3 linked regions of the Bombyx mori genome follow. Each later gene encodes a partner of the first gene's protein in a complex. Links are inferred from orthologs where the notes say so. Each region holds a gene or a part of one and is shown in the gene's direction. Other genes may lie near its edges. The genes, in order: mrg, ruvB-like 2 and inhibitor of growth protein 3.

Region 1 (4,388 bases):
GAAGATTTTGCAACGAATATAAAACTTATATTGAGTGTCGAAAGATTTTCCCAGTTTTTTCCCGATTCGCCTGTCAATCCCTAATCGCCCCATTTTACCGGTACCGTTTTTATTGAGGGGTTGGAATGTCGTCCCTTTGCCGAGAGTGACGCTTAAACGTTTGACCTTCGAGGCCCATTGTATGGGCTGGCCAAAGAGAGTGATCGGGCGAACGCGGAGGTGTTAACGCGCTTATTAGGGAATGGGCTGCTCGAAGTGGTATTCGGAGGGCGACTCCTTTTGAAGAGCACCGCTGTGTTGTTCGTGGGGTTGATGTCAATGCGCTACTTCCAGAACTACTATTCAACAGTGGCTACTGTGATCTGGAATTGCCGATGCAATAGCCACTTCTTCCTACACGAGTAGTAGATAGCCGTGTCATTTGCGAAAAGCGCTAGATGGGTCTCCGCAGACCGGGGTATATCATTGATATACAAACTACATAATAACGGGGAGAGCGCGGAGCCTTGTGGGACTCTGGCCGTCAGATGACGGGGGCGAGAGTGAGCTCCCTCTACTCAATATCGAAACGAACAATTCAACAAGTCTCGTATGATGAGCACGAGTCTGTAGTCCCATGTTATACAGTTTGTATATGAAACCGCTAATTTTTGTTGAAGTGAAAACAACGCAAAAAAAATGTGATGACAGTATACTATGCTGCGTTCCGTTTTAAATAGTAACCAATATATCTAACTATGAAGGAACAGCTTCGCTATATTGACATCCGACTTTACAGTACTCGCAGTGCAAGCTAGAACATAACCGAAGGGTGGTAGTTTATGGCGCTGTTTTTTAAATCTTTCCACTTGCTTCTATGGCGCCAGCTTAATTATATTCCTTTCAGCAGACACTTTTTATTATACTGAGATGGTACTTCTTAGTTCTACCCTCCATATGTGTAGCAAAGACTAGATAAAACTTTAATATAATGCTGCGTAATACAAATACAGAGAACACACATAGACAAATTGAATAGTTCCAGAATTTCAATTAATGATCGGAACATAGCCTTCACTGCCATCTAGTACATTTCAGTTTGTTTAAAACTGCTGTGTTCATATCATTTGCACTTTCTATACTAGCGATATTTCGGTGAGTCTTCGAACAATATCTTACCGTTTAGAGGTGGAGACTTTTTCAACTTGTCCTCTATACAAAATGATATTCCTTAGTTCTATCCTCCATGGCTACACAGCTACCTAAGGCAAAACTGACTAGTTAACAAGGATGCCCATTTTCGCCCTAAATTTATATAGCTTAATATGTATAAAGCAGGTTAAAATATAATTCTATAGTTAATTATTATTGTAAATTAACTTTATTTTCATTTTATGTGTAACACAGGAAACATTTGGCAGTATGGTCTTTTACCTTCGCCTTTCCTCTTTTGTAAAAATTAAACGACTCAAGTCACAAGTCAGTCAGCCATTTGTAAACTGTAAACAAATAATCACATTATGTAGCAATGGCACCAAAGTTAAAATTTGCTGAAGGTAAATTATTTTTAGTACACTATTCAGTATAAATGTTTAGAATCAATTAATTTATTTGAAAATATTTATCGGTTTATTTACCGTAATTTATTTCAATGCAAATTCCTTAATTTCAGGTGAAAAAGTGCTATGTTTCCACGGACCGCTAATTTATGAAGCAAAATGTTTAAAAAGCTCAGTTACAAAGGACAAACACGTGAGGTATCTTATTCATTACGCGGGATGGAACAAAAAGTAAGTCATTTGGATGTCAGATTTGACGAAAATTAAGACAAGTAATGTAAACGAAATTTGTTGAACGGTGACCGATTGAATCACGAAGACTTGAAAGGATTCAATAGTAATTAGTATCTACCATTAAAGTATGTACTATTATTTTATAAAAACCTGCAAGCTATACATTATAATTCATACAATAAAGCTTAAGTTAAGAAATTTAGTGATATTCACAGTATTTTATTTTGCTGTTCAAAATTATAATCATATAGCACCACACCAAAAATTTTATTGGTTAATGTTAAACTGTTAAACAATAATATATTATAACATTGATCAATAATAACACAAGAACACATGAAGTTCAAAACTACACAAGATTAAAAACTCACCGACTTAAAAACAAATTAAAGGATTGCATCAAAATATTTTAACAATAAAATTAAAAGTATTTTATAGAAATCTAACTTAATAGTCTTAATACTTATAATAAAATTACAGTGGACTGAATCCATACCACTAAAATTATTAGTAGATTAATAAACATTAAATTTAAACCAAATTTATTTAGCTGTATGATATGAAAAACTACTGAAAAGAGAAATACAAATTGTATATTATAAATGTCTTAATGTTATTTCAGTTGGGATGAATGGGTGCCTGAAAGCCGTGTTCTGAAGTACAATGAAGCAAATGTACAAAGGCAGAAAGAAGTCCAAAGAGCTCATTCCGCACAACCAACTAAAACTAAGAAAAGTTAGTAATTTACACCGTTTTCTAAGTTACATTTAAAAATATTTGGAACCATGGAAATATTTGGTTTTATAATTAAAAGAAATAATACCATTAAACACTGGATTGTCTCTTGCAATTCTAGAGGGTGGTGCAAGTATAAGGATTAAAAATCAGTTGATTTGTACATATTTTATGAATTTGAAAAATACTTTAAATTTTTATATATAGGAAAACAAATCAGATTTAGAATCTGTATGAACTAGTATAAGATATTGTTGTTACTTTGATTTATTTAAATTAACATTTTCTTAGTTTTGCGAGTTTGACAGTAAAGTAGACATGATAAGAAAAAGTCTGTTCTTATTTTTATTAGTTCATCCTGGCATTTTATGTACTGTCTATACTTTTATAGTTTTTGTGATAGTTACAAATGTAAAAATATGACAACAGGTGATTTATAGTTTTAATGGGTATTACTTCTTGATTTTGCAATAGATTCTTGAAAATTAAATAAACCAATATGATCATTCTGTACAACAGTCTAAAAATCTGCAATATTAAATACAATTGCAGCTCCCGCAAAGGGTAGGAAATCTGATGCAGCAGTTGCTGCAACTACTCCAGCTAGAGAAGAATCAAGAGCATCTACCCCTGCGAGTAGTACTCAAGGTATTTTTGTTATCATTAACAGAAGCTTGCTAAGGTTATTAGATTTGGAAGCCTAAAAATTCAAGATGAATAAGAAGTCGATAGCTATAGTATTATGGTGTTTTTATTGATGTATCAAAGCTATGGACACCAGGAACCTAATGCTTTCCAATTAGTGTTTTTTTTTTTTTTATTTGTGGATGAAAGTCAGCAAAAGGTAACTTAAAAAAATTAGCAATTCTAAAGTATGTTACTTCTGTTTAGCAAATTATTAAAGTGTGTCAGTTTTGTCTCGCCTTAGTTTTTGTTTAAAATAAAATTGGATCTAATCACAACGAGGAGAAGCTGGGATGGATTTTGAAGGATTCCTTTTACTCACATTAAAATTTTCTCTGGAATGGCCTGCTTATTTCGAACCATATGTTTTGACAAACAAAGCGATGTTCACACTGTTTCACTTTATTGTTATTATTATTATATTTTATTATTTAATTATGAACTTAAGAACATGTGTTGGGTAACAAAGCAGTTCACTGTGTGTGTGTCTTTATACAACCCGCACTTAGAAATCCTTTTATTAAAAGAAGAACAGATATCCTCACTAATACAGTTACGAAGCAGCTTGTTGCTGATTTAAAGGATAGGACAGCTGTCATAAGAATGCAATTCAGTTCTCGACCCACTAAAAAGATGTATTCCAACAGGTAGTTGGTTTATTAACGCAAATAAAAAAAAAAAAAAATTATAATGACAAAACAAGTAGGTATTTAGGAAAATGAGTTCCCATTGTAAATATAGTTGGCATTCAGTGTGAGATCCAATTTAAATTTTATCTCTCATTAAAACTCATGTTAATGTTTTCTTTTCAGTAAAAGAGTCCGATAGTACACCAGCTCCCGCAAAAACAACTAAAACTCAGAGTAAAGATACACCTGCTGATTCTGGATCTGATCAACCTAAGTATGTCTGTCCGTATGTTTAACACACACTCACACGCATATTGCAATCTTTTGGAACCTACTCATGTTCCTACACAGGTTCACCTACTTAAGTTCATGCTTATATATAAAAGTTGATAATTATATATGTGTACCGCTTTAACATTCCATACAATTTTGGGGTTCAAAAATAGTCGTCTAATAATGGAAATGGTAGCAATATACCCATTGAATTTCTCGCCGGATCTTCTCAGTGGGTCGCGTTTCCGATCCGGTGGTAGATTCTGCAAAGCACTGCTCTTGTTAGGGTTCGTGT
Region 2 (3,655 bases), on another chromosome or scaffold:
CTAACACCGGATCGGAATTGCGATTCACTCAGAAGATCTGGTGAGAAACTCAGTGGATTAAAAACTGCTTGACTGATTTAGCTGTATTCGTTATAGTATATAATATAATATATAACCTAGTTAACCTAGTTCAAGTAACCTCACCACCTTGTTGATGTCCATGAGATCCAGTAACTATTTAATACCAAATAAGCCACATACTTGCTGACTAGACTCTAGCTTGCTAGGTCCGAACTAGTTGCTGAACGATTTTCTTGTTGACAGGTTCAAGCCGGAGATGTGATCACCATAGACAAGGCTACAGGCAAAATAAACAAGCTCGGCAGGAGTTTTGCCAGAGCCAGAGACTATGATGCTACCGGTGAGCAGCTATATTGAATTGCCAATGTATCGAAGACAATGTGAAAGGAATGATTTGGAAGGAGCCTATCTTTAAACAAACACTAGATATACGGTAGGCAGCGACTTGGCTCTGCTCCTGACATTGCTGAGGTCCATGGGTGACGGTAACTGCTTCCCATCAAGTAGGCCGTATGCTCGTCTGCCTATAGTAAAATGCCTGCACAAAAAAAAAATAAAAAAAAAATCTGACAAATCAATTGTATGTAACGGATTCTTTCAAATTGCTTAAGATGTTTGATCGACTTGAAAATTTTCACTTGTGTCAAGGACCGATGATTATACAATAATTTGCATTAAGTTCTTATTACGCTGATAATAATAATGCCATCTGTCGCCGAATAGCAAAAACGAATATTAAAAGAACTAATAAAATCGGGAATGCTCGAGAAGTGTAACTTGCATCTATTATCAAATAGCGGAAACACCTATCGAAACGACTGGTCCTACCAGGAATGTTCTCGGTAATTGTAGAGATGTTGTCCTGGCTATAAAAGCTATAAAAGAGATGACACGAAGGCAGTTAGTAATCGACTCGAATCTACTCGAAGCGAAGCGGAAGAAGTGAAGTGCGAATTATAAAGTGTTCCTTAAGTATTCTAAGTGCTTAATAGAGTTTTAATTTAGTACTTCGCTGGAAGTTTTGAAGTGTCACTTCTTTAGAATCGTTGTGATTTCAAACTCGATGAAACGAAATGAAACGAAACGAAAAAATAAGTCCATAGAGACACAAACACATATATGTATAGGATTCAGCCGGCGAGAGAATCAGATAGAACACGTTTTAAGTGAAGTTAAAATATCAATTCATAGAGGGCGCTACCTCATACTATACAAGATGATTTAAAATTATTTATATTTGGCTTGTTATCAACAGATATCGCTGCACGTAAATTCAACAATTCCTGAGTCGCGGTGACGAGATGTTACACAGTTGATAGACGTTCTCGTATTTCTCTTGCTAAATCATACTTACCTGGCGCCGGTCACCGTTTTCGTCGAACCCGTCGCTTGCGACGATAGGCTCGACGAGTAAATTAACCCTCAGACACAGCCCACTGAGTTTCTCGCCGGATCTTCTCAGCGGGTCGCATTGCCGATCCGGTAATAGATTCTGCGAAGCACTACTCTTGCTAGGACCAGTGTTAGCAACGTCGTCAGGTTTGAGCCCGTGAGCTCATCTACTAGTTAAGGTTCCGCTGAAATAGCCTCTCAAGGCTATCAGCTTAGGTAGGAAAAAAAAAACAAAATACCTGACGTAGGGATACCGTAATCATGCAGGCGGTTCCCCCAGAGTGAGACTGCTCCATTGCACTGCTGGGTGACCTTTGCGATTATTTTTATATTTTTATATGTTTCACTTCTACCACGTGTGACTTGCACACACACACACACACACACACACTTTTTTTTTTTTTTTTTATCCCGACCCTCAGTGAGTAACAAATAAATAGTATATGACATTATTATTTGTATACATCAATCAGGTCAGCAGGCCAGGTTCGTGCAGTGCCCCGAGGGCGAGCTGCAGAAGCGCAAGGAGGTGGTGCACACGGTGACGCTGCACGAGGTGGACGTCATCAACTCCAGGACCCACGGCTTCCTGGCACTGTTCTCCGGTGAGTCTGTGCGCATTGAACCGGCAGGACTGCCTTCGTAAGTCGAAGGGTGGAGCAGTTGTCCGGATACCTCTTAATGCTATCTAATAAACTATCTAGAGCAGGCCTGGGCAAATGGCGGAGGTAGAATTTTGTTTGGCCCGTGAAGCATTGTATATAATATATTATTATTAAAAACACATTGCATAAAATTTTTTAGATAAAATATTAAGCAATACCAATACATACTATCAGGGCCGGTGGGAAAATTTTCTCCCGGACAACCGCTCTATTCAGCGCCTCCTATTCGAAAATATAATTATGATAATTGAACAATTATTACACTATGTATAATAGTCGCACAATATAAAATTAGAAAAAAAACTGACTAATCAAAATATTTGCCCACCCCTGATCTAGAGCAAAAGGTAATGGGACATACATCTCTCAAATCAGCCTTTCTCAAAGTGGGCGATAACGCCCCCTTTTGGGTGCTGCAGGCCTAAAGGGGGGCTGTAAGAGACCCAGATAAAAAAATGGGGGGCGTTGTGTAGAGGCTTGGGAGGCGATTAGTAATTTCAACTAGGATACCCTTAGTCACCGACTGACCTCTCGCTATAGGGGTTTTTAAGTAGTTGAGAAAATGGGGGCGTTAAAAATAATTTATTCTCAAAGTGGGCCGTAGACAAAATATGCTTGGGAACCCCTGTCTTAATGATCAATGCCTGAATCTCGCTAACGACATTTTCGAGATATATGTGCGTATATACAAGTTCCAGAGGTCACCAATGTGGTGGAAAGCCCAAATTAAAACTGCAGTGGGAGGTTCCCTAAATGAGTGCAGTAGAATGACCTCGAGCAGGGAGAGATGGCGGAACATCGTAAGACGCATCAATCCTGCTCGGTGGAAGATGTTCCCTTTGTCCTTACCCTTAAAGACATAAAGGATCCAGTCTTAGACCGTAGCATCAGTCAACTGAGTCTCTCGCTGGGTCCTGCCGATCTGATCCAATAGATGTACTCGAAGGATAAATCCTTGAACTGTCAGATCTCCAGATCAGCACTCCTTCAGTACCTGGCTGGAGCTCTAGAGTCTGTTATTCCACCTGGTCAAGTGATAAGGTCTCTAAACTAGCCGGACCCCAAACCTCCAAGGTTTTGATGTCCACGGACCGACTTTGTGTTCTCAGGCGACACGGGCGAGATTAAATCTGAGATTCGGGAGCAGATTAACAGTAAGGTGGCTGAGTGGAGAGAGGAGGGGAAGGCAGAAATGATTCCGGGGGTGCTATTCATCGATGAGGTAATCTTTTTTCTGTCTAACATAGAACGGGTGGTGATTTTTATAGGGGGATGGAGTTCTTTTCTATTGCATAGATGGGTGGACGAGGTCACAAACCACCTGGTGTTAAGTGGTTACAGGAGTTCATAGACATCTGAAACTTAAATGCCATCACCCACCTTGAGATATAAGTTGTAAGGTCTCATTTTTAACAGTACAACAGCTGCCCTTCAAACCGAAACGCATTACTGCTTCACGGCTGAAACAGGCAGAGAAGTGGTACCTACCCGCGCGGACTCGACTTCCTACCACCAGTAAAAAAATTATGAAGCTCATAGATGGATACTCTTGCTCGAGCCAGACTCGGGCAAGGTAG
Region 3 (4,103 bases), on another chromosome or scaffold:
GATTGCAAAGCAGGGCTGTTTAAGAAAGAATTTGCGTCCTGGTAATTATTGAAAGACAGAGACAGTCTATTACGGCCAATTCTTTTTAAGCTTCCGTTAACGATGTTGTGGATAGAATTCCTTTTTAAAAAACGACCAAAAGCGATAGGGTGAACTGTTACATCATCGTTAGGAGCTTGCTGTATTTTTTGCACATGAACAACATATGGTGCTGCATCACTTACCTGATAAGTTAATCTGGCTACCGATTCTGGTTTTTTGTACTGATTGGACTGATTGGAATTCAGTTGCGAGTCAGTGAATTGGGGAGGAGTAATACTTTGGGTGTTAGTGTTACTATTAAACAAAGGTATGCAATCACATTCGTTTGGTTTTATTTCTTTGCCCTGATTTTGTTTCCGATTTCGTCTTTTTTTATGGCATTTAGAGCAATGCTTATTGACAGTGGCTCTACGTTTTCGAGCACCACTGTTAGATTTAACGGATCCATCGGTTTCCATTCCAGATTCATTTGATATTGTTACATTGTAACCGACCCCAGGGACTTCTCCGCCCCCAGGGTCATCAGGCGGCTCCATAAGGAGCAAAAGTTAGGAAAAAAAAACACTTACCAATAACAGTCCTAATTCACTTTTAAATAAATAAAACTTAAACAAAACAAATATTACTATATAAACTACACTAAACTACTGATCCAATCCAAAAAATAAAATAAAATAATTTATAAGTCGAAAAACGCGTACGTCTACAATCAAGTTTCCCGCGCTTCTCTCCTTGTAGCCAGTTATGTACGGTACTTGGTTACACACCAATGAGCGCACATATTAGGTACCTACCTATTGATGTTGTGAATTCGCATATTTTAATCGCGACTATTTTAAGTCGATTGTCGAAATCGTCAAATACACGAAGTGTGTCTTTTGAATGAAATTGTGTCAAATTGAAATTTCTAATTTGTCTACATATGCGATCTATGGAAATGTTTTTTCAAAATACACGATACAAATACACGAACTAGTACTTATACTTTGTATAGTATTATTAGTACTATGCCTATGGTATTAATTAGAATCAAAGGTTAGTAATTAACTTACCTTGGACCACTTGGACTATATACTTACAATATATACAAACAGCTATTTACCACATAATTTTAAAGTTTAAGTTCAATCTAAGAAATAAATCAAAAGTAATATTTCTTAGTTAGCTGGTATTTTAATCGATTTTGTGACCGATGTTAACACTCTTTTTGTCACAGCACTACTTACCCACCATTTTGTAAAATCAATCAAGCTTTCCAGCTTTATGAAGTGTGACGTTTAAGTATACATCAACGTAGTATCTATTGACTAATTTATTTGAGTTTTAGGTTCAAAGTTAGCATTTCAACAGTAATTTAACAAACTTGAAGCACAAAACACTCACCAAAATGCTGTATCTTGAAGATTATTTGGAAAGTAAGTTATTTGTTAGACCAGTGACGTAACTAAAAATCCATTAAGACAGTTGGTAGCACTGTAGCGTCCTTAATAAATAAAGCGCAAAATTTAAAAATACCACTATTTGAATTGTTAAACAACATCGTTGACGCAGAATATTGAATTAGTAAATTAAGTAATACAAATAATAATAACAGCTTGATTTAATTTTAAAGTTTATGTGAAAGCATAAACCGAATAAAATTTGAGATTTAATTGCAGTGATAGAACATCTACCGCAAGAACTGCGAGACAGATTTACTGAAATGAGAGAAATGGATTTGTCTGTCCAAAGTAAGCTATCTTGCCATAAAATTACATTCATACATACAATACAATTACACTATTATACCAGACTTTTACTATATTTTGGTCATTAATAGATAACATGGACACCCTTGAGAAAAGAGTCCGTACTCTTTTTGGTGGATGTCGTCGTGGTGAAATAAATACCGATCAAGCCAATACTGAGTTTTCGGATATTAAGCGGGGCTATGCCAAAACTTTAGAAGAGGCTGACGAAAAGACCACACTTGCCAACCAAATGTATGATTTGGTTGATAGGTATCTTCGACGATTAGGTACGTATCACTAAAAAATCCTGTACACAAAATAATGTATGAAATATATTGCAACTTTTAAGTAAATTCAGTTAAATGAGTGATTCCATAATTAAAATTAATTAACACTCCGGTTTGCATACATAATTGTGTACCACTATGAAAACATGGTATGATGTATAATTAAACAATTTATATATTCGAAATATTCAAATAATAAGTTAAACATGCTTAAAAACAGATACAGAGCTGCATAAATTCAAGTGTGAGCTTGAAGCAGACAACAAAGGGATAACAGAATTGCTTGAGAAGAGGTCACTTGAATTGGATGTTAATACTAATCACACTAGCACATCAAACAGCAGTCATTACAAGGAAAATAGGTAACTCAACACAAATGTCAAATTAAAATTGTGTAATGAAAAATATCCTCAATCATGTTTTGACTAAATAGTTGGATAGATACTATCTTTAAACAATAATTTGCTCTCAAGAGTTAGTATTAAACTACAATTCATTGTAGTTTGAATCGCATCTTGTTTCCTACTGGAACAGTAAGTAATCAGTAGCTTGACTATGCCTGGCATTGCTGATGTCTGAGTTACAGTGACTATATACCATCAGGTAGGCTCTATATGCTGCTGCATGCCCACCTTTGATCTGTCTTGGAAAAAAAAATGAAACATTAATAAAATAAGATAATTCTTGGAAATTGTTCAGGTATCGCATAAGGCCAGAAAAGCGACGAGATAGTTGGGGAAATCGTGATTCCCAACGTGGACATTCCTCAAGCAATATGTCGCGCACTGACTCCGCCATACAGGTTTGTTAGGAGATTTTAGGCAAACTCAAAAAAAAGTCGTAATAAAAAAAACAATTACTAAGAAACAATTTTCAGAATTTACAACTTAACTTGCAAATAAGTTGTTTATTTCAAAGTACAGTGTAAAACTTATAATTTCTGTTCAAATACTTTCAGGCTGCACTTGGTCGTGAATCTTACTCTTTGGGACATGCTGGCAGTACCATAGCTGCAGCAGCAAGCCAAGCTATTGCTGCTACACAACAAGTAAATTAAACATTAATATACATGATTAATAAAAAACATGTTTTTGGTTGTATAAAAATAACAGGTTCAGCCTAACTGATATCACTTTTTCCTGACCTCAAAACGGGATAACACATTATACACAGTCTTAAATCTACACTTTTTGGTCAATAAAATAAATTAACTACTATTCCAGCTAATTACTTATAGACTGACAAATACTCTGAATAATAATTAAAATGAAAAGTATTTATACGAATTAATAGAGTTTTCATGTGAAGGCAGTAGTTTATGCTCATTTCAGCTTCAGAATCTTTCTGCATTTAACAAATAGATATAATGTATCATTTAATATAATATTTTTTTGATAAAACCATCACTTTATTTCCGAATTATGTTAACATTAATTCTCTTAATGTACAGATGCAGCATGGTCGTCGTACAGCATCATTGAAAGCATCCTATGAAGCAGTTGCAGGTGGAGAGCTGGCTCATCATGCTTTACAAACTCATCATCACGATCATGGTAAAAAAAATATTTAAAATAAATTAATTGATCATTCTCAGTTGCTCAAACGCTAGAAAAGCTAGTTATAAGCTTTTTTCAGAATTTCCCTGGGTGAAAAGTTTGTCTACAATTGGTTATCTGTCCACTATACCAATTATAATAGACCAGAAAATCTAGGCAAGCGCGAATTGATAAATTTTCAATATGAATTACGTTTGGGGAGCAGTAAATCTCTCTATCAAATTCACTTCAAAATAAAAATAAATAACAGATAATTGGTAAATAATGACAAAGTGTCATCTAGTCCCAAACTAGGACTTTCTGAATTATGGGAAACAAAGACTGATGCACATGCATACTTAATATGTTTAAACATGTCTGGCTATTAAAGACAGGCAAACTAGTTTGTCGTACCAATATTTTCCACAAATTCGACTTGGGAATCGAACCTACATATCTCGGCTCTGCTAACAGGGGCGTTGTTTATTCTGCCACTGAGTCAATCAATA

Evidence for each region.
Region 2: mrg (region 1) and ruvB-like 2 share a complex: the UniProt entries of both Homo sapiens proteins name them as parts of the nuA4 histone acetyltransferase complex. The link is inferred for Bombyx mori from reciprocal best matches to the Homo sapiens genes MORF4L1 and RUVBL2.
Region 3: mrg (region 1) and inhibitor of growth protein 3 share a complex: the UniProt entries of both Homo sapiens proteins name them as parts of the nuA4 histone acetyltransferase complex. The link is inferred for Bombyx mori from reciprocal best matches to the Homo sapiens genes MORF4L1 and ING3.

What each region holds. Positions count from the first base shown.
Region 1 is NC_085127.1:11,194,325-11,198,712, forward strand, and holds the start of mrg (mortality factor 4-like), read left to right. Parts: upstream 1-1,480; 5' UTR 1,481-1,507; coding exon 1,508-1,535; intron 1,536-1,651; coding exon 1,652-1,769; intron 1,770-2,394; coding exon 2,395-2,507; intron 2,508-3,059; coding exon 3,060-3,155; intron 3,156-4,003; coding exon 4,004-4,094; intron 4,095-4,124; exon of another isoform or gene 4,125-4,356; intron 4,357-4,388. UniProt on the Homo sapiens protein: Component of the NuA4 histone acetyltransferase (HAT) complex which is involved in transcriptional activation of select genes principally by acetylation of nucleosomal histones H4 and H2A.
Region 2 is NC_085117.1:3,013,454-3,017,108, forward strand, and holds part of ruvB-like 2, read left to right. Parts: intron 1-264; coding exon 265-361; intron 362-1,886; coding exon 1,887-2,018; intron 2,019-3,187; coding exon 3,188-3,300; intron 3,301-3,655. UniProt on the Homo sapiens protein: Possesses single-stranded DNA-stimulated ATPase and ATP-dependent DNA helicase (5' to 3') activity; hexamerization is thought to be critical for ATP hydrolysis and adjacent subunits in the ring-like structure contribute to the ATPase activity.
Region 3 is NC_085109.1:7,261,537-7,265,639, reverse strand, and holds the start of inhibitor of growth protein 3, read left to right. Parts: upstream 1-1,247; 5' UTR 1,248-1,429; coding exon 1,430-1,457; intron 1,458-1,700; coding exon 1,701-1,772; intron 1,773-1,861; coding exon 1,862-2,059; intron 2,060-2,279; coding exon 2,280-2,421; intron 2,422-2,758; coding exon 2,759-2,861; intron 2,862-3,017; coding exon 3,018-3,107; intron 3,108-3,509; coding exon 3,510-3,612; intron 3,613-4,103. UniProt on the Homo sapiens protein: Component of the NuA4 histone acetyltransferase (HAT) complex which is involved in transcriptional activation of select genes principally by acetylation of nucleosomal histones H4 and H2A.